Lepisosteus oculatus: one gene and its partners. The protein of the gene in region 1 interacts with the protein of each later gene in a biochemical or structural test. Links are inferred from orthologs where the notes say so. Each region holds a gene or a part of one and is shown in the gene's direction. Other genes may lie near its edges.

Evidence for each region.
Region 2: of the proteins of prkn (region 1) and mfn1b, one has a biochemical effect on the other in vitro, tested with the Homo sapiens proteins (3 studies listed by BioGRID). The link is inferred for Lepisosteus oculatus from reciprocal best matches to the Homo sapiens genes PRKN and MFN1.
Region 3: of the proteins of prkn (region 1) and septin5a, one has a biochemical effect on the other in vitro, tested with the Homo sapiens proteins (2 studies listed by BioGRID). The link is inferred for Lepisosteus oculatus from reciprocal best matches to the Homo sapiens genes PRKN and SEPTIN5.
Region 4: the proteins of prkn (region 1) and caska form a complex in vitro, tested with the Homo sapiens proteins (2 studies listed by BioGRID and IntAct, with this or other methods). The link is inferred for Lepisosteus oculatus from reciprocal best matches to the Homo sapiens genes PRKN and CASK.

The regions. Positions count from the first base shown.
Region 1 is NC_090712.1:15,389,661-15,397,907, reverse strand, and holds the start of prkn (E3 ubiquitin-protein ligase parkin), read left to right. Parts: upstream 1-4,967; 5' UTR 4,968-5,005; coding exon of another isoform or gene 5,006-5,012; intron 5,013-5,037; exon of another isoform or gene 5,038-5,780; 5' UTR 5,781-5,835; coding exon 5,836-5,905; intron 5,906-8,247. UniProt on the Homo sapiens protein: Functions within a multiprotein E3 ubiquitin ligase complex, catalyzing the covalent attachment of ubiquitin moieties onto substrate proteins. Substrates include SYT11 and VDAC1.
Region 2 is NC_090708.1:1,648,698-1,656,827, forward strand, and holds the start of mfn1b (mitofusin-1b), read left to right. Parts: upstream 1-4,642; 5' UTR 4,643-4,666; coding exon 4,667-4,732; intron 4,733-5,936; coding exon 5,937-6,060; intron 6,061-6,269; coding exon 6,270-6,405; intron 6,406-6,522; coding exon 6,523-6,685; intron 6,686-7,351; coding exon 7,352-7,476; intron 7,477-7,927; coding exon 7,928-8,036; intron 8,037-8,130. Other genes in the region: calcium-activated potassium channel subunit beta-3, read right to left, coding at 61-167. UniProt on the Homo sapiens protein: Mitochondrial outer membrane GTPase that mediates mitochondrial clustering and fusion. Membrane clustering requires GTPase activity. It may involve a major rearrangement of the coiled coil domains.
Region 3 is NC_090717.1:1,151,888-1,159,256, reverse strand, and holds the start of septin5a (septin 5a), read left to right. Parts: upstream 1-4,047; 5' UTR 4,048-4,062; coding exon 4,063-4,236; intron 4,237-7,369. UniProt on the Homo sapiens protein: Filament-forming cytoskeletal GTPase. May play a role in cytokinesis. May play a role in platelet secretion.
Region 4 is NC_090710.1:3,905,105-3,912,710, forward strand, and holds the start of caska (peripheral plasma membrane protein CASK), read left to right. Parts: upstream 1-4,573; 5' UTR 4,574-5,474; coding exon 5,475-5,533; intron 5,534-7,606. UniProt on the Homo sapiens protein: Multidomain scaffolding Mg(2+)-independent protein kinase that catalyzes the phosphotransfer from ATP to proteins such as NRXN1, and plays a role in synaptic transmembrane protein anchoring and ion channel trafficking.

The DNA.
Region 1 (8,247 bases):
GCTGATCCTTTAAGAAAAGGTATGCATAATCTACTGTTCCGGTTAAATCATAATTTAACCCGCAGCCACCAGCAGGTCGCCAGCAGCCAGATTACCCTGCAACTCACAACTGGCAGCCCACTGAAGCTCAGCGGGTGTGAGCCTGGTCAGTACCTGGATGGGAGACCTCCTGGGAAAAACTAAGGTTGCTGCTGGAAGAGGTGTTAGTGGGGCCAGCAGGGGGCGCTCACCCTGTGGTCCATGTGGGTCCTAATACCCCAGTATAGTGACAGGGACACTATACTGTAAATAAGCGCTGTCCTTCGGATGAGACGTAAAACCGATGTCCTGACTCTCTGCGGTCATTAAAAATCCCAGGGCGTTTCTCGAAAAGAGTAGGGGTGTAACCCCGGCGTCCTGGCCAAATTTCCCATTGGCCCTTACCAATCATGGCCTCCTAATAATCCCCATCTATGAATTGGCTTCATTACTCTGCTCTCCTCCCCACTGATAGCTGATGTGTGGGGAGCGTTCTGGTGCACTATGACTGCCGTCGCATCATCCAGGTGAAGCTGCACATTGGTGGTGGTGGAGGGGAGTCCCCATTACCTGTAAAGCGCTTTGAGTGGAGTGTCCAGAAAAGTGCTATATAGGTGTAAGCAATTATTATTATAATAATACTGTACATATGTTGTCATGTTCTTACTTTAAATCATGTATTCAGTATGAGTATTCATGTATTGGTATGTTTAAAACTACAATGTCACAGGGTATAAAACACTTTTAAAGATGCCACTGGACCTACAGTACAGTACCATAGCAGTCATTCTCAATGATGTGTTTGTCAGAGCTTTGCAGCAGCATCATAATGCATTTTGGCTGAGGTATTGTTCACTATAGGGCTCCTACTTTATAGAAATGTTGTGCAAACTAATGTGCCCTTAATTATGAAGTAGTACATACAGTAGCCTTAAAGGTGTGTTGAATCAAAAACAAAAACAGCAGAACTACCTGTACTGAATCCATATCACTGTCGATTGAACATAAAACAATTGAGATTAGTTATGGCACAAGGTTGGAAATTGTCACTAAACATAACTAGATTGCAATTATTATTTATGTTGAGAACTCTCCAATAATGTAAGATAGAATTTCATTAGCCAGAGCTCCCCAGTGAGTCATATTTGCCAACACATGTCCAGAGTGGAATGGAGATGAACAGTTGGCAGAGCTGCTCAAAGAAGTCCTTTAAACTTACGAAATTTTAATGTTCGCCTGGGAGCAATTTACAGGTTCAAGTGTCCATATTTGCTGAAAAATACTGCTGCATAAATAATGCCTAATGTACTGCACTTATATTTTTTCAGTGCTGTTCACTTTAAATTCAGCACTAAAAGAACACTGAAACTCTATCACTACAGAAAGATCAAAGATATCTGCATCTTAGGGAATGCTTTATACTGTCCATTACATACTCTGAGCTTTTGAATAATGTGCAAATATGCTTATCTAATATTGGGCAAAAAAGTAGCAGAGGGTGGCATGAAGCAGTTACATGAAAGTATCATCCTCACTTGTAATGTTTTAAACAAGGATGAGCTTCCATAGAGAAAACAACCTTTACACTTCCTAGTAGACTAAGCATGTTGTTCATGTCACTGAACCCTATTCTTTAAAAAGTCTATGCTTTGTCTAATCTCTTGGCTCAAAAAACAAAAAATGATTTTCAGTTTTCACAACTTTATTTGAGCATGATTGAAACAGACCCTGCAAACAGCTCAAAAAACATTTGGAAATCCAGAACAGAATGTTACCTTCCTTAACCTTTTCCGAACAAGGTTAAAAAAAAAAACTTAGAATGTTCTTTTATTGTAGAATTATTGGAACCTGAAAGCTTGGAACTAAGTACAGTGTTGACCCCTGGGAGAGAGGGGGGTAAATATTATAATCTGTCATTTTACTCATTAATATGTAAATTGAATCATGTTTAGTCAATCATCTAACCCTGTAACTTTGGTTGTAATATGCCACATCACATTTGAAGAGATGCAGAAAACATTACATTGATGCATTTTCAATTTGAATATTAATGAAGTTTACAGCATCTACCAGCCCCAATGCTTTAAATAGTCTACATGTTTAAAAAGCTGCACATAAATCTCTCTAGAAAGACTAATAGAAAAAACAACATAATTATGTAAATTAACTCTTTATACCCAAGACTTTTTGCATTTATCCTAAAATCATTACACACCCAGGGTGGCAGCAGGTCCTCATTTTATTTTTGCCAAGATTCCTTTTGCTTAAAAAAAAGAAAATCACTGTTGAACACACAAAGACCATGAGCACATGACTGGACTGTTATCTCAAAACTGGTTTAGGACTCACTGGATATCCAGTACTGATGGAAAGCACACATTTGTAGGGTATGAAAAACTGCATTCTAAAAGTATTTACTTGCCAACCGTCAATGCTTAACGCATTAAGCTTCCACAAGACAGAAACAGAAAATCTAAATGAGGCAGGGCTTCTATGATGTGCATCTAGAAATAATGCTACTGCATATGAATTTTATGTTTGAATTTGTATGAATCTAAAATTAAACAATAAAACATTATAAATGAAAAAATAGAACTATTTTTCATACCCTTACTTCCTTGCTAGTGTACAGTATGTAGGGCTAAATACTGTATTTTGAAGCAACTTATTTACAACTGCGAACATACAGACATATAGGGTTTAGTATAGGATTACTATACTAAAGTATAGTAAAGACATATAGGGTTTATCAGAGTTGGAATCTTGAGCATTTTGATGTACAGTAAAACGGCACGAAGCTGCTAGAATTTCCAAATACACTGTAAGCAGGAACTGAGAGCCAAAACACACAGGTAGTGTCAATCAATGTATAGTTCACATAATAAGGTGCTGGATCACCACATGAAACCAGTATGGCCTGTATGCATCATCACATAGAGTGTACACCATCTGGAGTTCTGCAGCAGGCATGGAGCACCATTCTTCCATGAGAAAGCCTGGCTGATGGAAGTGAAAAAATGCTCTGGAAAAATCCAAAATATCTCATAAATGCTCATTTGTGTTTACAGTATTTCTGGTGAGTGAGAAGGCCATGACATACTTCATACTGTAACACACATCAGTGTACAGCTGATTAAACTATTGGGAGACCACACATGCTCAGTAGATGTGGACATTGCCATCAGGTAGATGCCCCCCATGAAAAAAAAATGCTACATGGGGTGAAGACGATCACTATTAAGTAGCCAATAACATCTACCTTGCCTTCGAAAGGAACAAATACACCCAGACCATCACAGGAATATTATTATAGCCCCACAATATTATAGAACCACCAGAATCCTTTACTGTTGGAACAAAAAGCTCTACAATCCTTGAGTGCTTGAGGTTGTCGAGAACATGAAGGATAATTCCTCTAACCATATCACATCTCTCCACTGCTCAGCAGTCCATTGCCTGTGCTCTTTGTACCACTGGACGTGCCAGGAGTGAGGAGTGGTTCCTGCACTGCAATCCACCTCTGTACAGTGTACCACTTTGAGGAGCTCTTACAGACCACCTTTGATTAAACTGGATGCTTGCACCCCAGGTTGGCATTTGCAGTCAGATCACCTGCTGCGTAATTGCTTGGCTTCGTTTGCCCTGCACTCTGAATTTAAGCATGGATATCATGATTATAGTTTGTGCTTCCACTTACTGTTGCGAAATCTCAACCAGTTGAGCCGTCTTGGTCACCGAAGCTCCTGCTGTACTCACCTCAACAAACACACCTCTTTCAAAGTCACTGTGCTCTCACAGCCAGAATTCCAGAAACCAGGCCCTCCTGTTTTTATGCATGCCTCTAAGCGTGCTGGGATGCTAGCTGCTTAATTAAAGCATGACCAGAACTGAGTGGGAGACCTTGCTTTCAATATCCATAGTGTTCCCCCTTTGCTGGGTATTTCCATTGTTTCTGTCCAATACCTGTATATTGCAGTTTGTCATTTTGAAGTCCTCCATAACACCTGGAGAGTTAGCAAACTGTTCTAATTTGCACCAAATCGGGTGTCGTGTAATTTGGTCAATTGTTCTCATATACTGAGTTTTACAGACATACCTGGAAATACTAAAGTTAAACAGAACACAAGACGCATTATAAAATACCACCGGCGCCCTTCCTTAAATTACCGCTAGAATTGATCTTCGACTAGCTCGACAGCAAAACGTCTGCTACGATAGCAGGAATCTGTTAAGCACATGCAATCATTTTCAATCATTACAATAATGTATGAATGATTACAGGGAAACTGTACTCACTCGCCAAACTGCCGAAGCAAAAGCAACTTATCCCGAAAAAGCACAACCAAATGAAAAAGTCCCTTCTCTGTTATAAGGCGAGATTTTACATGTGATTACCAAATACACAAATTTTACTTAGAAAAACGAAAAAAAGTTCCAGGCTATAAAAAACGGCACCATACATTTTTAATTATAACAAAGAGATCTCTGGTTACGTACAGTTAGAACTGGACTGGCAGCGATGCACTCGCTCGCACCGTTTTCAGGGTCCTTTCTAAGTTTTAGTTCTAAGGTTAGCAGTAAAAAAATAAATTCGTGAAATAAGACGACCAAACCGTCAACTCTTGTTTAATGACCTGAATTCTTCGTTTTGTGCAGAGACTGACCTACCCAATTAAATAAGCACTCGGTCACAACCAGAAGAAGCATGCTATAAAATACATAAAACTCAGTAGTTGCTTTCAAATAGTAGTAGCAGAAATCATGACAGCAATAATAAATTACGTTTGTATCTTGTAAATCGTTGCACGAAAACGTTGAAACAGAAACGGAAAAAAAGGGCACTACATTTCCCAACATGCTTCAGGGACCATTACACGTGCGCTGATGCAGTGTGACCTGGGATGTCGTAGGCCATAGCCTTAAATACAAACAGAGACGTGTGCGTAGACTGTCAGTGTCACATTGTCAGAGACTGCGTCTCTTCAGCATGATAGGTATGTGACTCTGGTGATACTGTGTGACGTGTCTCTCTTGATTTCTCTTTTTCTTTCGAAATAAGAAAAAGTGCATCTAACCTGTAATTCAGCTTGACGACGGGAGATGGTAAATAGTGGCTTGCAGTTCATGATCCCAGCTATAGAAATCAGACGCTTAAACGGGGAATAGTCCCCTCAACTCCGCATTCTAATCTTAAAACTATACTATTATTCTGAAGAAAATGTATAGTGCATGACACCATTGCATAATTAATGCTGCTTTTCATTTCCCACTCCGTTGTTTATTACTTTTTTGTTTAAATTGGTTGCTTATCTACAAATAAGCCACGAGATACCTATTAAATCCTGAGACATTTCACGCAGCTTTTGACAGAGGTTAGTTGAGGGTATCACGTGATCTCTCGGTGGCTCTTTTTTTCTGTGCACTTCTCATTATTAGCAGGTGTTGTGAATCGATAGGATAATGAGCGTTTTTAATTACGTGCTATTGCTATTGCACATAACTAGGTACGTAGGGGAAAGTATATAGCTTTAAATTCCCCATACATTCTTGTCATTCTGTACAAAAGACGCAATGAAAAAGATTCAGTGCACAATATTTATGTAGTGCCTCTTAATCCCAGTTTTAGAGAGACTGTGAGAATTCTTAAAATCTGAGGCAGTGATATGATTAGTCATCAAATTGCAATTTGAACATTATTAAAATACTTATAAGCATCTGCAGAGTGTTTCCCTTGTAGGAACAGTGTTAATTTCATTATGAAGGCTGTAGCTGGCATTGGGGTTACTGCAGCATGGAGCCAAGAGTCTGACATTGTGGATGAGCCCTTGCTTTTTAAACAAGGTGGCAGTTCTGACACTGAAAGGTGTTGAGGAGAACACCGATCGAGGTAATATATCCCACCATCTGTTTTCGAGCTGCTTCTTCCAGTTCAGGGTAGCTGGAGCCTAACTAGACAAGCAAGGGGCGCAAGGCAGGGTACACTCTGGACGGGACGCCAGTCCATTGCAGGGCAGACACACAGGCACGCACGCAGTCACACCAGGGCTAATATTCTCAAAATATACACATGTATTTTTGGACTGTGGGAGGAAACCGGTGCAAACTGGAGGAAACCCACACGAACGCAGAGAGAACATACGATCCCTGCACAGAAAGTTTGGAATTCAACCCCAAAACCCAGCACTGCAAGGCAGCAATACTAACCACTGCGGCACTGGGCCACCCTGAGCTCATAAACAACATATTCAAAATCTTGAAAGCAAGCTTCTGGCCAGGCAAGGCCTGTAAAAAGTGTTGACCCAGAGTTCTGAATTAAGCCAAAGAGACACAGCTGTACCATTTTCCTGTCGAATGTACCCATTTCTTTTTCTATATCAAAATCTCAAGGTTAACTTGATTCAATCTCCTTGAACCGTGAAATTCGTTAGCAGAACTGTAGCAGGTCTTTATGTGAAGTCAAAACACTTCATATCTTGTGTTGTTTCCAGAACCAGTAACTTTAATAGAAACTTTATTCTAAACAGAACAATAATAAAAAAAAAAACAATTTTTCATGGGATTGGAAAAAGAGCTTGTTCAGCATTTCAGACAGGATACTCCTTTTTTAAATGGCTAAAGGGGAAATACAATATTTGATGGATTTTAGTTTTTTTTAGGATGATATTGAAGCACTAGTGTTAGGGCAGACAAACTGTTTAGCCAAGTGGAATTTTCTGTGCTGTTTATATCTTTGTCTGTTTGGCTTAATCTCATGTCAAATCTTTAGTTAAATATAGCTCTTTATGTTTAAGATATGCTTCCAGTACAGCTGGAAACCTGGAATTTCATCAACATTCTGTATTTTGCATCTCTAGAATCTCTGGAAGACCTATCACATTTATTTTAGGTACATTAGGCCAATAGTAATAATATAATTAGTAGCAGTTGTCTGAACTAAGAATATTCTATGTGATGTGAGATGTGAGACTGTATTTTCTGTACATTTTATTGTGACTTACAGTATAAAATCAGACAAAATGTTTTTTAGAGTTTCTAAAAATCCTAATAGAAGAATTCCTAAAATTTCTGACGTCAAGTACTGTATAAAACCTTTACCACCATAGTTTCAGAAAAGTAAAAAACAAATCTAGATTTTTAATTAGTTAATTGCAAATCACTTGCCCTGAAGCTTGGAGTGTAATTCAGTACATTACCTTTTTTATACAACATCTAAAAGTAAGATTTTCCCAAAGATGTTCCTTAAACTCTGAGATTGAGCCATACTGCAGTATTTATATACTGTATGTATAATCCTAGTCTCTAATAAAACGACAAGTTTATCCCCTTGCATTGAAAACTTGTAGTTTTGTGAGAGTGTGGCTCACATTAGCTGAATGTTTCCATGTTTATTTATAGCTTTCAGTGATCTAAAGCTCTACTGATTGGAGCTGTGTGAATAGTGGGCAGTATAACTAGGAGCTCATTATCAGTGTGTAACCCCAGCCACGTATTGTCAGACAAGCAAGTAATAATAAAAACCTAACCAGAGCTCCAGAGTTACAGTTTGGTTAAATTGTTCCATCAATGTGCGTGCAGGCATGTTCATCTGAGAGAACAATTGTCGATATTGTTGTGGCTTTGACAGGCTATGGCTATCTACAGTACCACTGTACCACTTGGAAGAATGAGCCAAGGTACTAACATAAGTGTGGCAATTGAGAAGGAGGATAGGGAACTGGGAAAGGGCTGCATGTTACCAGTGTCTGAACTTAGGTGGACATATTGAAGAGGCAATTCTGCTCTTTACCACATATTAGTGTCGTGGTTTTTAAAGACCCCGGGGGATGTTGCTTGTTACAAAAAGGCACTCCGGTAACATATTGATTTCCCTTATTAGTCAATCAACCACCGATTCATATTCAGTAACTCCTTTATCCTTAAAGGAGTTAGGTGAACCAGAGTCTGACCCAGCAAAAACAGGATGTGAGCCAGGACTACAACTTAATTCTGGAATTCCAGGACATACATGCATCCAACCATCCATGCAAATGTATGGACATTTTCTAGACTTCAGTTAATCTGGATCCAGTCTTTCGATTGTCAGAGGGCACCAGAGTAAGGAAAGCCCAGGCAAGCATGGGGAGAACGTGCATACAGACAGCCTGCTTTGAATCAAGGACCCTTGAATTGCAACATGACAGTGCTACCTATTGTGCCACAATGTTTGCTCTAATAGACAGCCACATATCT
Region 2 (8,130 bases), on another chromosome or scaffold:
CGGCGGGGGAGAGGACTTCTCCGGAAGAGCCGGAGAAGGCAGAGAGAGTGGTTACCCTACCTGGTGAAGCGTCTGCGCGCGCACTGCAGCGTGATCTGGACCGGGACTCCGCAGGACCCCCTGCGCGACGCCGGCTGGAGAGACATGTCCGCTCCCGGCTGGGACATGGCAACGCGGACCCCGGCCCTGCCGCGGCGGAGCACACACACACACGCTACCGCCCGGATGAAGTGCGTCGCAGAGGCGTGGAGCCTCTGACGGGAGGATTGCAGGTGCGGCTCGCACCCTGTCCCTCACCTGGGCCTGGCTGCCGCGGCAACCGCCCGGGTTCCTATAGGAACGCCAACAGACGAGCCAGCTAACGATGCCCCGTGGGCTGTTACAGGCCCGGAGGGAGACTCCTTTCCTCAAGACGTGCGTGTCCTGTGCTCCATGTTTACGAGGGATTAGCTCCTGCTGCGTGCGAGGAGGAGAAGGGAACGAGAGGGACCACTGCACTGCCCCCCCACCGGGGGGACGCTGTTCAAAAACACAGCACACGGGCAGAGGACGGGCTCCTCCGGTCTGCGCCTTGGACAGAGCCGGCGACCAGGCGACCAGGCACAAGCCTTCAACAAGCTCAACCCCGCAAACGTCTCCGATGAGCAGAGCGACATGAACCGGAAGACTCTGGTGGAAACTACTCGAAGGTGTACTTCAAGCTGAGAGGCAGAGGTGTGGGAGTGTGGAACAAGCTGCTCGGCCATGTTGTTCAAGACGGTACCCTGGCCTCTTCCAAGAAACAGCTGGATGAGATCCTCCGATCACCAACATACTGACTACCAAACGGTTAGATGGGCCGAAAGCCTTTGTCCCGTTTCCTATGTTCAGAACAGAAGGTTAATTAATCTCCACAATAGGTGATGCAGCTACCAGACGAATCGGGCATAATGTGTGCAAAAGGTTACAACTCCCTCAGATATTCCGGCTCAGACTGAAATTTCAGATTCTGCAGCAAAAGCAAACTGCATACCAACAGTAAAATACTCGAGTGGAAGAGACGTAATTTTGTTTCCATTTTTGTCCTGAAATCTTTGCTTTGCCCGACAGTTAGAGAGGGTTTATGGGTTAAAACAGCAACAGGGTCTAATGTACCTATTAACTCAGATCCCAGGCAATAACGCTCTTTCTATCCTGTCCTTTCACTTCATACCCAACCACGAACTTCATTCCTGCTTTCAGCAACCGCCTAACGATCTGTTTGTCACGCTGAGGTTCTTCATGTCAAGGTGTTGAAGCTGGTCAAGACACATCACCACCTTCCCCTGGCGCTCAAATCTCTCTTAACTGCTCGCAGAGAGCGCAGGAGAGGCAAAACCAGCGAACGTACTGTAACTGTCGAGGGTTTTTAGTTCACCGGCACACGCGAAGCGCAACGCAACGTCTTCCGCAGCAGTTGAAAGAGAACTGATGCATGCATACAGATTTTAAGATCCTTCCAGCTGCCTACAGTTAGTGCCTTCGTTCTTGTCACTGCGTGCTTCATGATAAGACAAAGCAAACAACATAACTGTGACATTTCTCGGACATGGACGGAACTGGGCGCAGCACTATCTTTCCAGCCCTGTCAGCAACCGGCACACTTACATGGGCAGTGTCATCGGCGCTGCTGTGGAGGACTTCAGCCCAGGCGATCTCTCTCGGTTTTTTCAAGGTTCCAGCGAACTTAGTCCTGTTTCTCCCATTTCCCGGGCTTCGATCTCCCAAACCGCCAGGGCTTCAGCAGACTGGAGTTTCAAATCCAACTTTCACCCTGACAATATCCCTCTGTTTAATAATGCATGAAATGTGTTTGTGCAGGTGCTGCTCGCAGGGGGAAAAAAGATATCAAAATAACAGAAGGGCACGCAGACCTTTGCTGTACATGCAGATTTTACGAAGATATATCAGTTTTTGCTGCCGTAGGCAGGAGTGATGTAAAAGCTGTGTGCTGCAGAATCGGACTGCTGTGTGTCCCCAGATGGGTATCACCGCCTGCACATGTATAAAGATGGAAAAAGCCAACTGGGTTATTGAAGAAGCATTAACATGTCCCTAATATTTTAAAGTGTAAAACTTGATCTATAATCTGTAGCTTCCAACATCTCTTGTGAAGGCGCTAACAGGCAGGCTCTGATTAAAAAAAAAACATCGATTCGCATCTGTCCCAAGGCCGCCGAGAACAAAAGGCAGTGACTTTCTTCCTCGTTCTTTTACAGATGTGTTATTTCGGGGAAATAACAGGCCTAATAAAGTGATGTTATGTTAATAAAGTGGTGTCATCCACCTGAGAAGACTTGAAAAGACATAGAGGAAACATCAATTTTTTCCCCCGGCAAACTCATCCTCTCCGTTTTCATCTGCCAGATGTGGGACAGCTGATATCGTTTGAACTGCAACATGCGATTGAGTGAAACATTCCCAAGCACCTGGCGAGCCCGTGCCCTGGACCTCGGGACTGTAGAGCAAAGAACCGGTTCGTATCCGGCCCTGCTGGGCGCTGTGGCCAGACTCCTCTAAAGAGCGGAGCTGGGGAAGGGACCCGCGACACATCTTCCATTGCAGGGCCTGCAGTGATCGGTACACACGGAGAACAGCCGAGGTTTGGCTCCGAGTACCGCTCTTCGTAGCAGAGTCCGTTTTAAGCGACTCACAGCTGTAAAAAAGGTGCATGCCTGCAGGACGGTTTTCTCCGGACAGTGCCTTATCGTTCCGCTTGAGGCCACACGGGCACCTTTTCAAACAGGGAAACACGATTGTGAAGAACGTCACGAAGAAGGAGTGATGAACTGTGAATAACTTCTCCCTTCATTTTCTCAAGATGCTTGCTGTTCCCGCCTGACAGCGATCTGTGACATGGGCGCTCTTGCTCAGAACCAGACGGACCAGGGCAGGAGTACACCCTCCTGGACTGAGCCCAGTCCGCTACAGCGCTCACGCAGGGACCATTTAGGGACAGCGCTGTACCGCACCAGTGTCTTTGAAAGAAAGAGAGGAGAAGACCCAAACGAACAGGGAAAGAACATGCAAACTCTGCACAGAAGACCGGATTCACACAGAGGACCCAAGGGCTGAGGGCAGCGCCGCCCCGGCCAGTGAGACACCGTTCTGTGGGTTGTATTAATGTAATATGACTTTAACCTGTGTTTACGTTGTAATATCAGAGTCTAGCGCGGATGGGCAGTTCAAGGATCGGTGAGCAAATACTACGATTTTCTTGTTAACTGCAATATCACTCTGAAAAAGCGCTCTGTGGCGATACGGGCCCACCCGTGCAACTCACTTTATTGGTTGAAAACCGATTCCGGTCTTTGAAAGATTGTTTTTAAAGCTGCGAATGGTGGTTCACAATATTTTTGGCTCACTAACCCCTCTTGTCGAGGTGAATTTCGGCGCCCAAGGTCAGGGTAATGACATTTAAACGTAAGCATCTCGTTGCACTTGTGCATATGACAAATAAACTGAACTGAGCTGAACACTGCAGCGCTTCACAGCGCCGGCGGGGTCGCTAGAAGAAGCAGTGACACGCTGCGCCCGCCAGGGGGGGGGCATGCCTCTGGTGCTTTGAGCTCTTGTCCCTCCCGCCCCGGACGGTTTACGCCTTGCGCTCTTGTTTCCCTCCCGGACGGTTAACGCGGTGCGCCCGTGAGCTCGACCCCGCAGTCACGCCTCCCCGGCCGGGCCGAGTTCTGACCGAGCAGCGGAGCGGAGCGACCTGTCCGGCTCGACAACACCGCACTGGCCGCGGAGTATGAGCAGCCGCAGCTGCCTGTGAGGAGGCCCGGAGATCAGGATAGACGAAGGGAGGCGGAATCTCAGCTCTGTCAGGTATAGCAGGAGCTATGTTGCGGTTTTCTGCAGTTCCGAACAGTGATGAGAATGTGAGGAGACACTGCGCACAGATACGGTGGCAGTTTCATGGCGAGGAGGGTGTTTAGGTGCATAAAACTGGCTGGCTGTCACCATTTGAAGATCCTGTAGCCCGGTTTAGTTTTTTTATTGCTTCCAGGCAGTTTTGTTAACAGGAATACGGTTTCGTTTCGTTTCGTTTCGGGCGTGCGGTCTTGTTTCAGTTTTAAATCTTCAACTGGGTAGTTTTAAAGTTCCAGTACTGATAATACCGGAGCGGTTCCAAGGTAAGAAATCTAAACAAAACACAGGCCTCTGTGTCTTTCTTGTTAATCTCCTGTTTATGAAGCTTGTGTCTGACCAAGGCGTCCGGCCCCAGTCGAGACAGGGAGAGAATTCAGGAAAGGGGAATAAATTAGTCTGGGATACTTGCCGGGTCATTAATTAGCGCTACATGAAGGAATGAGGGATATTCTGAAAAATTAAGCCTTGCTTTGCACAGCCAGGTTTTCCCGCGAGTTGTCTATTTTTCCCCAAGTCTGCATAATCATTCGGTTCTGAAATTCTTTAACTATCGGGATAAAGATATCATTGGGTCTGAACCGAGCAATGTCTGCAACTTTTCCAGTGTGACGTAGGACAGGTGAAGCGCTGTCGTCACGTACATCGCCTACCTCATACTAGAAGACTTGTGTGATAGCACCAGTTTCAACACTTCAAACTGACGCTTTTTTGCCTTTAAGTGTCTGATAACCACAAGCTATGCTTTAAAAATAGCTGTATAATATATATTCTTTAAATGTTATTCATGATGACTTTTAAAGACCCAGAGACCATGATTGCTACAGTATTAAAAATAAGCAAGGTAATTTTTTTCATTTTTTTCTTACTACGTGCTAGGGACATCTAAAACTGGCCATTGAAAACGCTCCTTTTCTGTTTTATAATATCTGCTTTGTGATTTTCCTGCTTGTGAAGTGTAAACAGAAACAAGGTACTAAAATAGATGGGGATTAGCCAGCTGTTCCCTTTGCAGTGCAGACGTCACTCGGTCAGGTCAGGGGTGCTATTTCTGTGCTCGTCTGGTACTGGGGAAGGATGCACAGTATTATTGAACCCCAAGATTATCAACTTTATTTGCTTTAGTATTCTAACCTTCTGTAAGTTTGAGAGACAGACTTGGAAAGAGATACTACACAGAAGCGAAACTAAAACCTTTTCCCCCGCAGTCTGCTCAAGTGGTGTGTGAGATGGGTGGGGCTGTAAAGAGTGTGTTTCCCAGTGCTCTTCTGTGTTTACACACTCTCACAGGGTGTGTGTGTGTGTGTGTGTGTGTGTGTGTGTGTGACCTTACTTATGCATCCTAGGAGATAAGCCAGTGTCACGAGGTCACCCACAAACCAGAGCTTAACATTACCTGTCCAGATCTCTGTATGGCACAGAATTCTCTAGTTTTCTCATGGGTCTGTTCCTGCTGTAGCAGTGCAGTCATGTTTCTTGCACAATTAATGTACAATTATGAGCAATTCTCTGACTCTTTGTGCTTGTGGAGTCCCAAATCATTCCGACCAAATAGCAATAGTTAATGGCCTCTTACAATTTTTTTAAAGTGAGAAACATGATCCAATCTATAAGCTTGTTGCAGACTCTCTCACCCCTTTGGGTAAATAAGGACCTCCTGTTCTCAGTTTTAGACGCACTATGGTGCGTCGTCCACCTGTGTTCTCTGATTTGTGTTTCCATGGTTATCCTGAAAGAAATCCACAGGCTTGACTCAGTAAGTGATTTTAAATACTTGAATCAGGTCGCTTGATAGTCTTCTCTGTTCAAGATCAAAAAGGTTCAGTTCCTGTCGGTGTGGGATACTCCCTTCAGACCAAAGAGACTCAGTTCCTCCAGCCTGTCAGTGCAGGACACTCCCTTCAGACTAAAGAGACTCAGTTCCTCCAGCCTGTTAGTGTGGGACACTCCCTTCCAACTAGAGAGACTTAGTCTGTTTGCCTGTTATTGTGGGACACAGCTGTGATGTCCACAGTCCCTCACGTAGTGTCGAACTGGCTGCTTTTCAGGACAGCAGCATGGAGCAAGGAGACCAGTCCCCCCTGAAGCACTTTGTGCTGGCGAAGAGGAAGATCAGCTCCATCTTCCAGCAGCTGCTGGATTATGTCAACGAAGGAGCGGCATTCCTGGAAGGTAAGGGAAGAGGACCGCAGGAGTCGGGATCTTGGCCGTGCTGCAGGTGCTGGAGTTTGCGTCCATCCCGGCGCTAAACCAATCGCTGGGCGCGCGAGTGCGCCGCCACAGCAGGGCCGTCCTCGTTGGCTACAAACCTTAGAGCTGGGCGGGGAGGCGGGAGGAGAGACGTGAGACGTGCCTGAAGCTTTTCGGTCTGCTCCTGCCAGAAACCTGCCGGACCGAGGAGCTGGAGCAGATCGCCACGGCGGAGCAGCGGGCGCGGATCCAGGCGGACACTGAGAAGATCGCCGTGATCAGCGAGGTCCTGGCCCGGAGGCACATGAAGGTGGCCTTCTTCGGCAGGTACAGGCGCCGCGCCGCTGTTCCTCCGCGTGCCCCCCCCCCCCCCCCCCGAGTGCGGAGGCCGCCGGCGCCCGCCGGCGCCCGCCTGACCCCCCGCGGCTTCGTTTCCTTTCCCAGAACCAGCAACGGGAAGAGCACGGTGATCAACGCCATGCTGCGCGACCGCGTGCTGCCCAGCGGCATCGGCCACACCACCAACTGCTTCCTCAGCGTGGAGGGCACAGACGGGGACAAGGCCTACCTCAAGACCGAGGGCTCGGAGGAGGAGCAGAGCGTCAAGGTGCGGCAGCCCGAGTGTCCGGGAGCTGGCGCTGAGGGCGTTCCCAGCCCTGCTGCCCCTGTACCCTCGGAAAAGCACGTCGGTGTCAGCCGGGGCCTTGTGGGAGCCTGCGAGGTTTTGAAAGGCGGCGCTGTCCTGCGCACAGTGGTACCGGGTTCCCCCCTCCCCCCCAGCTGCCACACGGCAGAAGTCAGGGGTCACTCCGGGGCCCCCTCAGGGGAACTGGGCACGGGCGTCGTGGTGCGCTGCTCCGCAAGAGTTGAGAAGCTCGGAAAAGGCCCTGCCTGGCTTAAGAGCTTGAGGAGGGTTGATATTATTCTGGCAAGCGGTGCAAGCAGTGTGATTCCGCCCGGCACTCCGGTGCAGTCCTGGGAGGTGGGAGAGGTGCTTTGAGCCCGAAGGGGGATATAAATTTGGGATCAGAGGCTGTCCTGTCGGGGCAGGGTACGTCACCACCTGATGTTGGTTGGCTTCATCTGGCACAGTTGATGCCTGGAGTGACTTTATTTTGTACTGAAATCACGATGGATGTAACCGAGGCCTGTCTGTGTTCTGCTCAGTCCTGTGAGTGCTTTATATGAACTTAAGTAACAGGATTTAAAAAAAAAAGTGTTCAGCATCCCTTTGTCTGCCCCCCGCTCCCCGCTCCCTCCCTGTCGCCAGCAGACCGTGAACCAGCTCGCCCACGCCCTGCACATGGACAAGAGCCTGGACTGCGGCTGCCTGGTGAAGGTCTTCTGGCCCAAGGCGAAGTGTGCCCTTCTGAGGGACGACCTGGTGCTGGTGGACAGGTATAGTGCCCGGTCCGAGGCCAGGGCCACTCGCGTCAGGCAAGACTCCCCCTTCCCCTCTCGAGTCTGTTTGCTGAGTGCCTGAACTTGACCACATGTGCCGAGAGCAGAATGAGCCCAGGCCTCTCCTGGCCTGTCATTCCTGTTCAGCTGGTGTGCTAAGAAGAACAAGCAAGGGTGCTTTAAAACACACTTAACTTTCATTTAATTTCACCAACGGTTTTTAAAGAGCAATGCTAAGTTTGCTATGTGTCCTTAAGTGTTATGTCAGCAAAACTTAGTGTTGCCAAAACTTTGTGGTGGATAAACGTCAGACCTGGAGTCCAGACATTTTACAGGGCGGGGGGTGTCTTGTCCAGTTTCCCAAGGCTTGGAGACGGACCTTGACCCCTGCAATCCAGATTACACATGCAAGGAGTAGTAATTTGTGAAACTGGTCTCACTCTCCCAGTCCAGGGACTGATGTGACAACTGAGCTGGACACCTGGATCGACAAGTTCTGTCTGGACGCGGATGTGTTTGTCTTGGTGGCCAACTCCGAGTCTACGCTGATGAACACCGTAAGTGTGCAGACGACCTGTCCATCTGCTTTGCTCACAGGAGTGCTAAACTTTTTTATTCATTACTTCCTATATTTGCCTGCGATTCTGAGGG
Region 3 (7,369 bases), on another chromosome or scaffold:
CAATATTCAGTGCGTGCCCGGTCCATGCTCAGTCCGTGCTCAGTGCATGCAGTCTGCATGCTGCTGTGGAGTGTCACCTGCCCAGTCAGGCTGCAGCTCTGGATGACAGCGCTCTGTCTCTGTAATGCACTGACTGTGGACAGTATCCCAGCCAGGGCAGTGAGGTGTAGCACCGCTGGCTTCAGCTCTGAGGCCCAGAGGTCTGTCCGGTGTCGCTCTGTCCCAGGGCTGCTCCTGAGATGTTCTGGGGAGTCGTCATCCTGCTGTCCTCTGTGTGTTTCAAAACTGCCCATGGAAGCCGGGGAAGGGAGTGGACGTGTGAGTGGGCTCAACCAGGGGCCAACCGGGCTCGGCACGGCTCGGCTCGGCTCGGCACAGCTTGGCATTGGAGTGTAAAGAGGGGTTCCCAGCAGTGTCTGCCGTGGGAGAAAAAAAAAGGATCACCGAGCGACAGCTAATTTATCTGTCCAATGAGGAGCAGAAATCCCCTGTCTTGTCCAGGCTACGGGAGTGAAGCAGCTCTCCTCCTTACAGACGTGACTTTTTAAACACTCCATTCCAGGTGGAATAAATTATATCAGATCCCTTTAATATTCCTAACTTCTTCCCTCTGGAAAAGGTTTTAGGGCTCCCAAATGTAGATCAAACACTGTAGATGCAAATATTCACTTGTTCCCCTGAATACAAATAAACGGCAAGGGTAAATGCTATTGCATGTGAACCATCAGTGTACATACAGTGGCGTTTACCCTGGTACAGTATAAACCGTTTATGCTGTAACAAGCTATATGGTTAATAAGTCATGACGTTTTTTGTTGTTGTAACACATGTGCAATAGGTGAGATGTGTAATGTTTTGTGATGTATTCAGATGTACAGAAGCAACGTGCGTCTATATAAAAGTTCCCCTAGAGGACAATAAAGTTTATATCACCTTAAATAGTAAACATAGAGACTGCCTGAGGAAGAGCTTTGTGCTTGAAACGCGCTGCGTTGGGTGTGGGGTGTTGTGTGCTGTTTGCTCCTCGGGCTCTGTTTATTGTTTCGCGCCCGTCGAGGTAGCAAGTCTTTTCTCAATCAAGTGGCTCCCTCCCGCGGCGAGGGACGAGGGCGGACGGTGTCGCCCGTGACCCGCGGATCCAGCTGCCGGGAGACCCTGGGTTTCTTTCTGAACACTTCTCCGCGGTCGAAAGCACGACCGCACGGGATCTGCCCTGAAAAACACGACCGCAGGCTATCTGTGCCGATGGTTTCGTTTATTTGCGTCCCTCCCAAAAACAAAACCCCACGTGCAGAATTTCCGGTTCATTACTTCATGGTGTCATCTAGCAGGGCTCGATGTAAACGCGCGAGGAGCCAGACGTCAAGGCGTGAGACCGGTCCTGCCGCGCATCGCTACGAAACAGCATTTCAGCCCTGAAAATGGACGTCTTGTGGGTGCCCACGTTCTTGTTTGGAGTTATAATACTGCGGCGAAACCCCGCTTACTGTGGCTGCCCGTGCACGGCGGCGCACCGTGACGGTTTCACGACACGAGAGTGGGTGTGAGTGCTGGGGTGCCCTCTCCCTGTCCTGCTCTCGCACGCAGTGAGGCCTCTGCCTGTGCTGGCGCAGGTCGGGACAGCAGGCTGCTTCTTAGCGAGAGCCTTGTGTTTTTTTTTTTACCAGACCGGCAAACACTGGGCCTCTGTTGTGCTGGAAACCCCAAATACGAGCTGGAGACCTGCGCTGTTGGCAGGGTGCGACTGTAGGTGCTGCTCTTCCTGTGGAAGGAATGTAGCGCTGTGTTTTCAGAAAGCTGAAAGCTCTGATTGTCATGCGGCGCGCGCCTGTGTTTCAGGGCACGTGTGTGCGTGTGTGTGTAGGGGGAAGATCAGCGAGTGTCGTGTGAGCTATGAGTCATTGCCTCAGTTCCCCACTGTGAATCTCAGGTGCCCCGGCAGCTGGGGAGTGACTGTGCGTGTCTGTCTGGAAAGGTTTGTGTGTGTGTGTGGTGGTGGTGTTGGGGAGGGGGGGGGGGCAGGCATCGCCAAGGCAACAGAATCCTTCAGTCTTCAGGGCTATTGTGACATCACAGTGAGACATCTGCTCCATTCATGTGTGTTTCCAGCACCCTGCTGAGTGCTCACCCTGCCTTCTAGACAGACATACTCACTGGCCCCAGCAGCTGGTCCCGAGCCCACCCTCAGCCCCCTGGGTCACAGCCGCCCCCCCCCCCCCTCCCCAAGAGGTCGAGTTGGGATGCTGTAAGCCAGAGCGCCTTTGCCCTCTATAAGGGGGTCTTTATTGTTTTGAGCTAGGCCACTGTGTTGCTTGCTTCTGTAATTGCTGACTTGCTGACAGCATTTCTTGGGGCTCAGAAAGATTTTTGACATCATTTCTTGGGCGGTGTGGCGGCTCTGTGGCTCAGGATCTGCGCCTGTGGCTGGGAGGTTGCTGGATTCTATCCCGTGGCCGGCAGAGGAATCCTACTCCATTGGGCCCCTGAGCAAGGACCTTCACCCCAGCTGCTCCAGGGGCGCCGTATAAATGGCTGACCCTGTGCTCTGACCCCCAGCTTCTCTCCCTGTCTGTGTGTCTCATGGAGAGCAAGCTGGGGTCTGCGAAAAGACAAATTGTATCTGGCCAATTAAGTAATCTGATCTCATTTAAAAAGAGGTGTAGGGCGTCTGCTGAGGTTGTTTTTCTCAGCCGCCTCAAACAGGACCAGTGTTCCTCTCTTTTCTTCATGCTCTCATTGCTGCTGCTGCTGCTGCATTATCATTCATATTATCAGGCCAGGGCTGGGCTGGCAAGCAAGCCAGCTGTCTCATTATTAATGAGCGCTGTGCTCCTGGATGGCGTCATTCCTGGCTCTCCGCTGCCCCCTTGTGGGACGGAAGAGAATTGTTCCAAAGCCCGGAGCCCTTCGACACAAAGACCTTTCCCTCTGGAACAAGCCTGTGGGTGTGGCAGCGCTGCCCTGGCAGGTGATGTATTGGGAATCGGTTCGGCTGGGAGCTCTGTGTAGCTGCAGTGGACTAAGGCTTCGGCTTCAGCAGGGAGTCTGGAAGCAGCGGAGGGACTGGGGGCTGTGATGATTTGGGGGTACACAGCACAGCCTGCAGAGCGGGAGCTGTGTGGGTACAGGCTGAGGGAGAGGGGGGGGACGTCCTGCATCCCTGACAGAACTGGGGCGCTGTTTTCCTCGCAGACTTCAGCCACATTGCTGGTAAACCCAGCGCACTGGCGAGCGCTAAAAATAAACAGAAAACCGAATAAAAAGGAACCAGTCTTTGTGCTTTGATACCCACGTAGAGCAGGAGTAGGAGAGTCAGCCTGGCTCACCCAGACCCCTGGGGGCAGGAGCCTGCGCACACCGGCGCTGTCGGACCGCGTGTGAGAGCCCAGGGCTCGTGATAAATCCCGGGCCGGCTCGGGCTGCTGTGCAGGGGGAGTGCGCGCACCCAGCCCGCCCCCCGCCTCACTGTGTCTGCTGCTCAGGCCGGTGACTGGGAGCGCTGGTCCCCACGTCGTCTCGCGACTGGGACCAGCACAGGGCACGCCAAGTCGGGCACAGAAGCCAAGCAAAATAATAATCATAATTAATAATAATTGTTTACACCCTCCTCCACCCCCAGTGTGCAGCCCCACCTGGGTGATGCTCCAGTCCTCTCACACACACCAGCTCTCAGTGGGGAGGAGAGCAGAGGGATGGAGCCAGTTCAGAGGTTTATATGCACAGAGATGTCTAAAATAAACACTTCGGTGTCGATCCCTTTGCCCTGCAGCCTGATTCCTCCAGCTCAGTGAGGGGCCCGCTTCTCAAGGGCAGACTTCCTTTGCAGTGCGCGAATAACACAGGCCGCCATCGCGGTTTCCTCCTGCCGGCAGCCGTGAAAGAACTCCGTCTCGGATGAAAGCTCGGGCTGTTCGCTGCCGGCTGCGCCCCTCGCCTCTGCACCACCCCCCCTCGGAGGCAGGAAATTCCACTCGGCTGGCCAGAATTCCAGCCCTGCTTCCCAGAGCTGGGGGGAGGTCTCTGAGAGGGGGTGGGAAGGAGGGATGAGGGATAGGGATAGGGATGAGGAAAGAGGAGGAGGAGGAGGGCGGATTGAGCGCTTCCTCGGCTCGGCCGCTGCGTCTCCGGGCCCTCTCCCCGCCGGCTCCTGCCTCTGTGGCCATGGACGCGATTATCCTGCAGGAAAAACTGGTGGAGCGTCTGCTGTCTCCCAGGATCAGGAGCAGCCGGGTGAAGGTAGGAGGGGGAGGTCTGGGAGACGGGGAACCGAGCTGATGGGAACTGCAGGCGAGGTGGCGAGAGAGGGGCGAGCCGAGGGCGCGGGTCGGGAAGAGAGGAAGGGGATGCTGGGAGGAAGCGGGGGTCAGGGGTCACTGGCCGACCCAGGGGGAGAGCGAGGGCGAGAGGGAAGCAAAGGTGATGGAGGGATAGAGGAGGAGATTAGGAGGAGGAGAGGAGGCAAACAGATCAACCTGCAGCCTAAAGTCCCTGCAGGACTCCAGTGGGGTTCAGCTGCGAGGGCAGTTGAGCACTGAAGGACCAACAGTGTAACAAACAGTTGTCTGGATGAAAGCCCTGGAACGGGTGGTTTGGAGGAGAAGAGGCTCCTGGCGTAGGATTAAACAACCCTGGGCGTTTGTATGCTCACGTGTGTGTATGTGTGTGCGTGTATGCGTGTGAATGAGTGTGTGCGCACGTATCTGTGCATCTGTTTGAGTGTGTATATGTGCGTGTGTGTGTGTGAATTTGAGTATATGAGGGAGTTTGTGTATGAGTGTATACTGTATGCATGTGCATGAGTGTAGATGCATGTCTGTGTGTGTATGAGTGTGTGTGAGTGCATGCGTGTGTGTGAATGTGTTTGTGTGAGTGTATATGCGTGTGTGTGAATGTGTGTGTGTATATACGTGTATATGAATGTATGAATGTGTGTGTATATGCGTTTTTGTGAGTTTGTGTGAGTTTATATGTGTGTGAATGTGTGTGTGACTGTATGTGTGTGTATGTGAGTGAATGTGTGTGTATATGCATGTGAGTGTATTAGACTGTGTGTGAATGTGTGTGTGTGTGAGTGAGAGTATATGCGTATGTGTGTGTGTATGTTTAAGAGTGTATGAGTGTGCATGTGTGTGAGTGTATAAGAGTGTGTGTGTGTGTGAGTGTATAAGAGTGTGTGAGTGTGTAAGAGTGTGTGTGAGTGTGTGAGTGTATAAGAGTGTGTGAGTGTGTAAGAGTGTGTGTGTGTGAGTGTATAAGAGTGTGTGTGTGTGAGTGTATAAGAGTGTGTGAGTGTGTAAGAGTGTGTGTGAGTGTATAAGAGTGTGTGAGTGTGTAAGAGTGTGTGTGTGTGAGTGTATAAGAGTGTGTGAGTGTGTGTGAGTGTATAAGAGTGTGTGAGTGTGTAAGAGTGTGTGTGAGTGTATAAGAGTGTGTGAGTGTGTAAGAGTGTGTGTGAGTGTATAAGAGTGTGTGTGAGTGTATAAGAGTGTGTGAGTGTGTAAGAGTGTGTGTGTGTGTGTGTGTTAAGAGACCCTGAGCTGCTGGCTGCTGGGAGAGCAGGACTCTGGTGCGTCAGACCCGCCAGCCCTCTCCCGTCAAGGCCCTCTCAGTGTCTGCGAGAGGCTGGCAGGAGCAGCCCCGCGGGCCCCAGTGCCAGCTCTTGTTTACAGAGCGGGCCCGCGGGGCTGGCACGGCCCGGTTCCCCTGGCGCCGGGCTGCAGGACGGCGTGTGCGTGGGGGAGCCCCTGAATGAGCCCTGTGTCTCAGTGTGCAGGCTGGAGGCGCCGGCTGTGCCACCAGCCCGTCCTGCGCCCAGCTGCTGCCGCGTCTCAGGGGTACCAGAGCCCCCGTCTCACTGGGACTCACTGGGACTCTCACTGGGACTCACTGGGACTCACTGGGACTCTCACTGGGACTCTCACTGGGACTCTCACTGGGACTCTCTGGGACTCACTGGGACTCTCACTGGGACTCTCACTGGGACTCACTGGGACTCTCACTGGGACTCACTGGGACTCTCACTGGGGCTCTCACTGGGACTCTCACTGGGACTCACTGGGACTCTCACTGGGACTCTCTCACTGGGGTTCTCACTGGGACTCTCACTGGGACTCTCACTGGGACTCACTGGGACTCTCACTGGGACTCCCCTGCACTGAGGCGCTCGTGACATTTCCTTTAGGCCTGGGCTTATTCTGGCTCCTTTCCTCCAGACCCCTTCCGGGGTGTGATGTCCGGTCTCTCCTGTGGACAGAGTATTCCTGCAGTGGTCTGAGCACTGTGCTGCGCAGCTTTGCCAGTTAGGACATTCTGGGGCGGGACGGCAGTGACTCTCCCAGGTTCGGGACCCGGGGGTCGAGCTGCAGGAAGGATAGTTTTCATTCCAGCTCTACTTTGCTGCTGGGACCCCGCCAGCCATGTGAGGGGTGTCAGGAAGCTGGCCTGCATGGGAAGTGATCGGAAATGATGGATCAGGCAGCTGAAGGCCCTATTCAGCTCTGGTCAATGAACTCCCTGTTCCGGCCTCTGTGTGTCCACACAGGGCCAGCTCAGCCCATAGAATAAACAGACAGAGAGGGGTTCATCGCTCTCAAAGGCTCCCAGTCTGGCGTAGAAAACGTTCCCCAAGCACAGGCACGAGCCTTTCGTTTCTCGTCAATGCGGCGTCTTGTTGCGTGTGAGGAGCTCTCTGCAGGTGCTACAGGACAAGCCCCTGTGACAGGGGGGTACAGTCCTGGTCCTCAGAGGGGGGGCAGAGTGTCTGTAGGTTTTCCTTCCAGCACAGCTCTTGACGAGCTGAACCGGCGGGTTATTTTTCATAACTGGACACATGTAACAGCCTCTCCCTGCTCTTCAGGTGCTGCGGGTTTAGAGGAGGCTGGGGGAAACCTGCAGATATAGCGCCCTCCCCCCCTCCCAGGACCGGGACTGCACCCCCCTGTCATAGGGCTGTGTGGAGCGTGCTGGGGCGCTGGGGTGAAAGGGGGTGCCGAGCAGCCCTGGCTGACCCGCTTTCTCTGTTGATGGTCGGTCGAATGCCCAGTTGGCCCGCCTGTCCTCTCTAGACCTGGGTATGATATCTTCAGGGGTGGCAGTGCAGCGTGTCTCTGGATCGGCCCTGGGCCGGTACATTCTGTATGTCCAACTAAACCCTTTCCAAAGACTGGGGACACCTGGAAGGTACTGATTGCTTTAAGCAAGAGATTTGTTGGACGAGAAGATCTCTGTTCCTCGAAGGCCGTGTGGTATTTAGAGTTTTATTCTCAGCAATCGACACATGACCTGATCTAACAGATCAGCCGCTGAACTGACTGGACTCGGATCACTCCCACGTCTTCAGAAACTGGCGGCTCGGAGGTAAACCCCTAAT
Region 4 (7,606 bases), on another chromosome or scaffold:
GGGACAATCGGGCAGAGCACACCAGTGAGTTGGGAAAAGAACATCAGCAGGGTCACAAAAACTGACTTTAATATAATATCGTTACCTAGTCAAAAGGCAAACTGAGGATGTTAGCAATTGCTTCTATTTCTGTCTCCAGAAAATACCATAGAAAAGACAATTGATGGAGACAAGTGTACGAGTATTGCTCATCTGATTAGTTCCTGTTTGAAGTGAATAAACTATCATTTCTGGTTGTTTGGTTGAAATGCTGTACTGTTGCCAAAAATTGACTGGTCAATTATGCAACTTACAAGTAAAATATACCTTGCCTGCAAAAGTACTAAAGATAAAATACTGGTTCTCATTTAGAAAGGCTTTATATATAAGACTAGCCCCATAGACCCCATAGCAGAATCAGAATACTATGATTGCTTTGATTTATGTAAATAGTTATATTTTGTGCTTATTCTAAAGGAGAGCTGCTTCCTGGTTAAAGAAGAACTAACCTACTGACATTTAGACATCTGTAAAAAGGATTTCCGGCTAAGACAAAGACTTAAGCGTATGACTGAAGCTTTCAGGCTGTGCCTGTCCACTCTTCTGTTGAAAATGTTTGCAACTACATCGGTGAAAATAATGTAGCATACCTAAAGAGACAGATGAAAAACTGATCGCTTGATTATCAGGAAGGCAGAGGGGGACAGATGTTCCACAGTTAAAACAGCTCAAGAACAAGGCACAGCAGATGTCATTTTTCAAAACTGAGAAATTAAACTGTGAAATATTGTGTAGCCGCACCCATTATTTACAGGTCGCATGAATGGAAATAATGATGACGTTGCAGTACAAAGTGATCTTGGATGGACTATGTACCCCGTAGAGCCTTGAATGGCACCTTATTCACATGTGAGCTGCATTGAAATGCATGACAGGGGAAGGGTGCTGTCACAGATGTCGGAAGGGACAAACCGTGGAGAGGCAGGAGAGCGAAAAACACCCTATGCGAAGTGGCGGAACGGGGAGTTAGCCCGGGCTCAGCAGTGCAAAGAGTTCTGGAGTGCTGTATAGAAACCTAAGCCCTAAGGCCACGGACAGAGCGGCGACCTGGTGCTAGGCGGGTCTCAGGACATCTGAACATCAATGCTGAGCGAAGCAGAATAAGTGACCCGGAAATATATAGCCCCAGAGAGAGAGACACCGGAAGGAGAGCAAACACAGGAAACTAGGGACAGGACAGAGAAGGAGCGCCCTCTGGCTGCAGAGGGCGTGACAGGTGCAAGGCGATATTATATGTAAAAGACATCTGAGACAATGCCAGACAGCCTTAAAGCTTTTGAAGAAAATAAAGGGACACCCCATCATACATTAACAGCCCTAACTAGCTCTGGTGATAGAGCTTGAAACTCATAATCTCAGGATAGTGGGTTTGTGTCCCTCGTTGGGCGCCAGGTCCTCCACGTTGGAGGTTGGGCACAAGGTGAACAGCCCTGTCCTGTAACAAAACCCAAAATGTTATGGACAGGATGAAACAGGATGTTGCTGCCCCTACATCCCAGAAGGCATAATGGGCAAACATCCATCCATCATACATGAATACATTCTAGTAACCTTTTGAACAGAGAAGTGACTGAGAGCCTCTTGAGTGGCTCATATGACAGCCTGGAGACTGTTCACATACAAGTTACACTCTCTGGCATATCCTGGCTTTGGCTGTGGTTTCCTGTGGGTGTTGCTGTGAAGGTGTCGTGTGTTGGGATGGTGGATCTCTGTACTTCAGGGGTGCCTTCAACCCCCCCATGAATTTAACAAACCTCAAGCAGTACAACACCCTCTCATCCAGCTTCCCAAGAATCCTTCTAGGTCCATTCAACTTTTAGGTCCAAACCCACCACTCTTGAGAAATTCCCTTCTACTGTATGTCATTGACCACTGATTCGGACCATATGCTTGCATGACTGATGACTATTTATCAGTAGCAGCTATTTCCCTTCTTTCTATTGAAAGAAGAACTTTGTTATTCAGAGCTGCAGAATCTAATTGCCAAACAAAAAAAAATTGCAGCTGGCTGGGCACCCCCTCTGTCTAGTAGGATGCTTGTCTAATGTCTTCATTAAGCCTCCCAAGTCCATGCAGAGCTGCAGTCATGAGTCTGGCAATTCCAGACGAGGTGTTTACAGAAGGACAGAAATAAAATTGGCGAGTAATGTTGTTTTTTTCTCGGAAATGGTGAAATGCTCCTATCTGTGTCAATGTTGAAACTTATGTGATTCTCAAGGCCAGGCTACTATATACTCCCTCGTTAGTGTCTGCTTTTTTCTGGTCTTATGTTGATATTAATATTGGTATTATAACGGACTTTTTACAGCTGAATTGACTCCGCACCTTGCTTTACCTCTGTGTGATCTCCAGATAAAGAGTGTTTTATTGAGGTTAAAAGATACTTTGGCACTACAAAAGCTTACAAGAGTACTTGGGTGTATACAGAACAAAAGTTTTCAGAATAATAATAACTTTGAACATTTCCTTCTTGATTAAAATGCCATAGTTTTATTCCTTTTCCATGTTTTCTTAGATTTGAAATTCCGCCCATTCAGGCAACCCAATGTCTTACAGGAATGGGCCATGGAAATAGTACAAATAACATGCGTTAGTGACAACTGCAGTAAATGACCTGCTCTGTTTGAAAGAGGTTGCATTGTATCCGTGAGGAAGGAATGCTCTCTGCATGTTACATTGCTTGACAGCTCTGTCATGCTGTTTGTTAAAGCTCTTTGCTTTATTCACTCTCACAATTTCCAGAAGCATTGATGGAAATCTCCCAGGAATCTCTCCAGAGAAGCTTCCATGCTGAAAAAAATAAAGTTTTATGCATAATAAAGAGGAATAAAAAACAAAAGCTAGGCTCACCCCCTGGAACCAAAGGAAAAGAAAAACAATAGTCCTATTGTTTCTTTTAGCAAAAGACAAGAATGGATTTTTAATATTTTAGCCCCAATTAGGCGAGAAGACTGCAATACTATCAATCCATCTTTCTCAGAGGAAGGGGCTGACCAAAATAAAAAACATTCAAACAGAAAAGGCATCCAGATGCGAACTGTAAAATTATTCTGATGTTGTTTGAAGCCTTGAAAGCACAATGACGCAATAGAAGAATGTTGCCATTTCTGCTTAAGTGGATGCTTTTTAAGAATGGCTTCCTGTTTATGTGAAGTTTTATTCAAAAGAGCAGGCTCCACATGCACATAATGACACCCCTCTAACACGAAGCACAAAATAGAACAGACACAAACACTTGCATGTAAATGAGGAAAATAAAAAGGTGTTACATGGCTACAATGACACTACTGTGGGAACAATTCCATTATTTTTGGTCCTTTTAATATAGCATAGTGTGTTTCCATTAACAGCTCTGTTATAAATTGTCAAAACGGTTCCAATAAAATTTAACGTTTTTAGAATTTCAACTGGAATTTCAAAGGTGACATAATGTTTTTTAGGGAAGTGACATTTACAACCTTAAACACCTCTTAATAGTGCTTGTTTTAATATGTTTAATATATCCAGTGGTACTGTTCCTTAAATTTATAAATGACTTAAAGCAGAAAAAAAGAACTGCTTGCTTTGTGATTTGCTAAAGCACAGCTGCTTTCACGTGCACGTCTGTCTTGTTCAAGGCTGAACCGACAGCAGACATACCCTCCAGCAAACATTTTAGTGCTACCATAGCAATCACACACAGGTCATAAACGTTTAGATTTTGAGGCGGTTTGAAAACACTTACAAATAGGATCCATTTACACATGCGTGCCAGAATAGCGAGCGGTGAACCCGCCTAACATCCTGAACTCCCAGTTGCTAAGTGTAAATCCAGGAGCATTGGGTGGCTTTTAATTGTATCCGAGGTCAGCCTTTGTGACTGCAAAAGCTGCCAGTGGCTCAAGTGTCTGCTTTCTTCAGATACAGGGCTTCCCATGAATACAGTGTATTGTTGATGTTGTAGGTGGGGTCATTAAGATGTGATGTGATGTGGCAGGGCTGTCATCTCGTGTTCGTGACTTGAGCTCCAGAAGACGAGCTAGCAGGTCATCACGATGGTTACAGCGCTATAGGAAGAAAATGCATTCGGTAGTTTCACTGTACAGTACGTGCGAATATGAAGAGGTTCGAAGTTTGCTTCCTATATTTCATTTACAAATGGCTTTTAAACAATGATTAACAAGGTGGCAAACATTTAACAAAATTCCAAGTGGATATTTCTATTCACAACGATTTATGAAATAGAGGTATTAACACTCCAAGCTGCCTTCGCTAACTAGCTTTTCTGTTTCGCACAAGCTGAGTAAGCCTTTGCTACGCCTCAGCAATGAACTCTTTCCCCTGCCCCATCCAGGTGCGGTGAGTCACCAGCCACCTCTCCTGCCGCCTCTCCTAGTCCCCGCTTTTGCTTGGCTGGGTGGAAAAAGAAAAGCATTTGTGAAGGAAAGAGGTGACGTCACCCGATGGGTATAAGGTGCCCAACGCGTGCGCCGTAGGCTTTCGTTGCTACCTTGGATTGGTGGACACGGAGCAAGGTTTTATTAAGAAGGAGTCAGGAAACTGCGTCTTGTTTAATAAAAAAGGCGAAAGGTACGCCATCTTGGATCCCCGGGCTGCGTTGTGCATTGCAGGATTCCCAGGCTCCCGATGGAGCCACAATGGCGCTCTAGGAGCCAGTTTCGTAACGTTGGGAGGGAGGAGCCTGCCGTTTCTGGAAGCCGGAGCAGCAGAAGCAGCAGCAACGGCGGTGGCGGCGGCGGAGTGGCGGAGTAAGAGAGGAAAACTAGAGCAGCGGCGAACTGGAGAAGAGACTGGGAGATCCATTTTTTTTTTACAGCGCTGGTACACCTGAACACACACGGGGAAAAAAGCGTGTGCATGAAAAGACAGACAATGAGCGTCTTTTAAGAGGAGCCCAAGCAAGCACGGCGTGCAAACTAGCTGCACGCCCAGGAGGGCATCGCAATTTGTTGGATTAATCCCGTGCAATATTATTTCAAAGAAATAAATCTATATATAGAGGCATCGCAGCGTGGACTGGGAGAGCTTTAGCTACAGCTACACCGAGGAGCAACGCAGACGCAGGCGTAGGAGAGGCGGAGTGTTTATTTTAAATCGCTTGAAAATCTCAGTTTGCAGCCTCAGAACTGGGGGATTGGGGATTGAAGCCGGGGAGACGAGGAGAAGGTGGGGCCGGAGACCGAGTCAGACAAACGGACTAAAATACGCAGAAATCGCCGGAGCCCGAGCGCCTTTGCTTTTTTTGGTGGGGGAAAGGAGTAATTTTCCGCCTATTGGAATTTGGAAAGCCACCGAACGGCGTTTCGCGATTTTCCCAGTCTTTCCCTCCCCCAGTCCAAGAACAGCAGTACAGAATTGTGATCCTTTGTTTTATTTTTAAATATACCGTTTTGGCTGGGCATATTGGGGGATAATTTCCCCATTCTTGTTGGGCCATGGCCGACGACGACGTGCTGTTTGAAGATGTATACGAGCTCTGCGAGGTGATCGGAAAGTAAGTGCCGTGTAAAAATTCAGATTGTACAATGAAATGCAATGCATTCTGTTTTTTTTTTTTAGTTACAGACGTTGACGCAAGATGTTCATGGCTTCACGAGTTTAATCGTGTGCTTATTGGCAAACTAGGTGTGAGGTTTTTAGGGATGTTCCTGAGCGCACGATTTAGGCTGTTGTAATTGAAAATGACTGTCCTGGTGCATCAGCCGAGTCTATTGGGAGATAATTCACGATTTCAGGAGTTGAAACGAGTGACCGTTTCGCCTGGGGTTGCTCTAATACATTTCAGTTGACAGTTTTAAAATGCACTTCGATTAAAAGGTCTTGTTTTGGAGAGACTGCACGTATTCAGAAAAAAAGGCGTTGACAATATTGAGTTACAACATCTGGCAGCAGTAGGTGGGATTTGACACATTCATAGATTTCCATTTAAACCTTTGTTTTCAATGTACAAGATTCAGTCAATCTTGTGGTTTTGCAGAGGCATTCTGCTTAATCTGTATAGATTTTGTGCTTAATGTGTGTAACATTTTAAACCCTTTCTAAAATCCTTGTATCTGTAGGCGGCCCTTGATATGGTAATGGACAGCTGTGTGTGAAACATGAATGTTACACGTAACTCTTAGTGTAAATTCGACCGTATGCAATGGAGCAATTCTCTGCATGCTACTGGCAAAGTGAAAGTGTTTGCTGTTGAAGATAACACTGTGTGTACTTCATCAGTGTTTATTTTGAACTATTGCGGGAACTCATCCGTTGCTTTCTTTATCCGTGTTGTGTAATTACGCTTGGCAAGGGATAAATCCAGACCAAGATTATTCAAAACGGGGATTAAGTTTTAAAGCAGTAGCATACCTTTCAGAACAACGAACAGGATATCTTCTTTAGTAAACGCTTTATTTCCGTATGGTTTAAGAGATGGCAGTCTTGCATCCGTTTATAAATGAACGCTTCACCTGTGTCGTGTGTTGTAATTTTCGCTTACTTTTCGTGGACGGGACTTTTTTTTTGTGGTCACGGTGATTTTGCAGTGTCTGCTTTTCGCTGACAGCTTTCGCTCAGGTGCACGGATGATCAGGTTGTCTTGATTATTAACGTGGGCATAACATGCCTTTTCGTATATTAAGTGAAGGGTTTACGCAATCTTACGATTTTTCATCCCAATATACTAAACATTTCCATTCCAATCCCGCTTACGTTCTGAATGGGTTTTAGTTGACGTACATCTCAGTGTGAAGCGTTACATGTGATTGCATGTGGTCACATGATGGTCGTTAACGTATTCTTCCCCACCAAAGAAACATTAAATGGGAGACTTTCCCTGTAATTGCCTATGAGCTCAGAGCGCTGATGTGTTTTGAGAATGCAAATGGAAAATTCGTGACCAAAAAGTGGAATCACGACAAAAACCTGAAAATGAGCTTCTGTGATCGTGGCACAGGTTTTGCTAAAGGAAAGTGAAAACTATGGAGAGCTTTACTGCTCCGCCCTCTTGAGAGTTTTAACGTACACAGTATAGCGTGATGAGGTGAACTACGATCCACATACTAAGTGAGTATAGCGTGCTGGCCTTCTCCTCCAGCAGACCGCAAATCAATACAGGAGTCGGTTTAGTGTAGGAATCGCTTTCCACCAGATTGCAAACCGTCTGTCCTGCACAGGATGTGCCTTCTCTTTTTGAACCAGAATGCAGGGTGCTGTGGCTGATGATTTGGTGCATGTCACAGTGTGTGCTTTCCGATTTGTGGGTACATTTGTGTACTTGAAGGAGGCTGTTCAGATGTACACATAGTTATTAATAACATTAGTGACCAAAGGCCTGACTGTGAACACCAAATTACATTGCCGTGGTGCCTGGTAGTTCACAATTGTGAACAGAAATTAGGTAATCTGAGATATGCATTGAGGTGTAACGTGTAGCCTATGTAGTAAATATTTTTGGTTAGTTATGAAGCCACTACTAGCAACTGTAATGAGAAGCATCAGTTAATCAATTTTATTTATAAGGCATCGTTTCACATTTTGAGGTTCACAATTACATAAATGTTTCCGTATGTCCAGACAGTTTGTC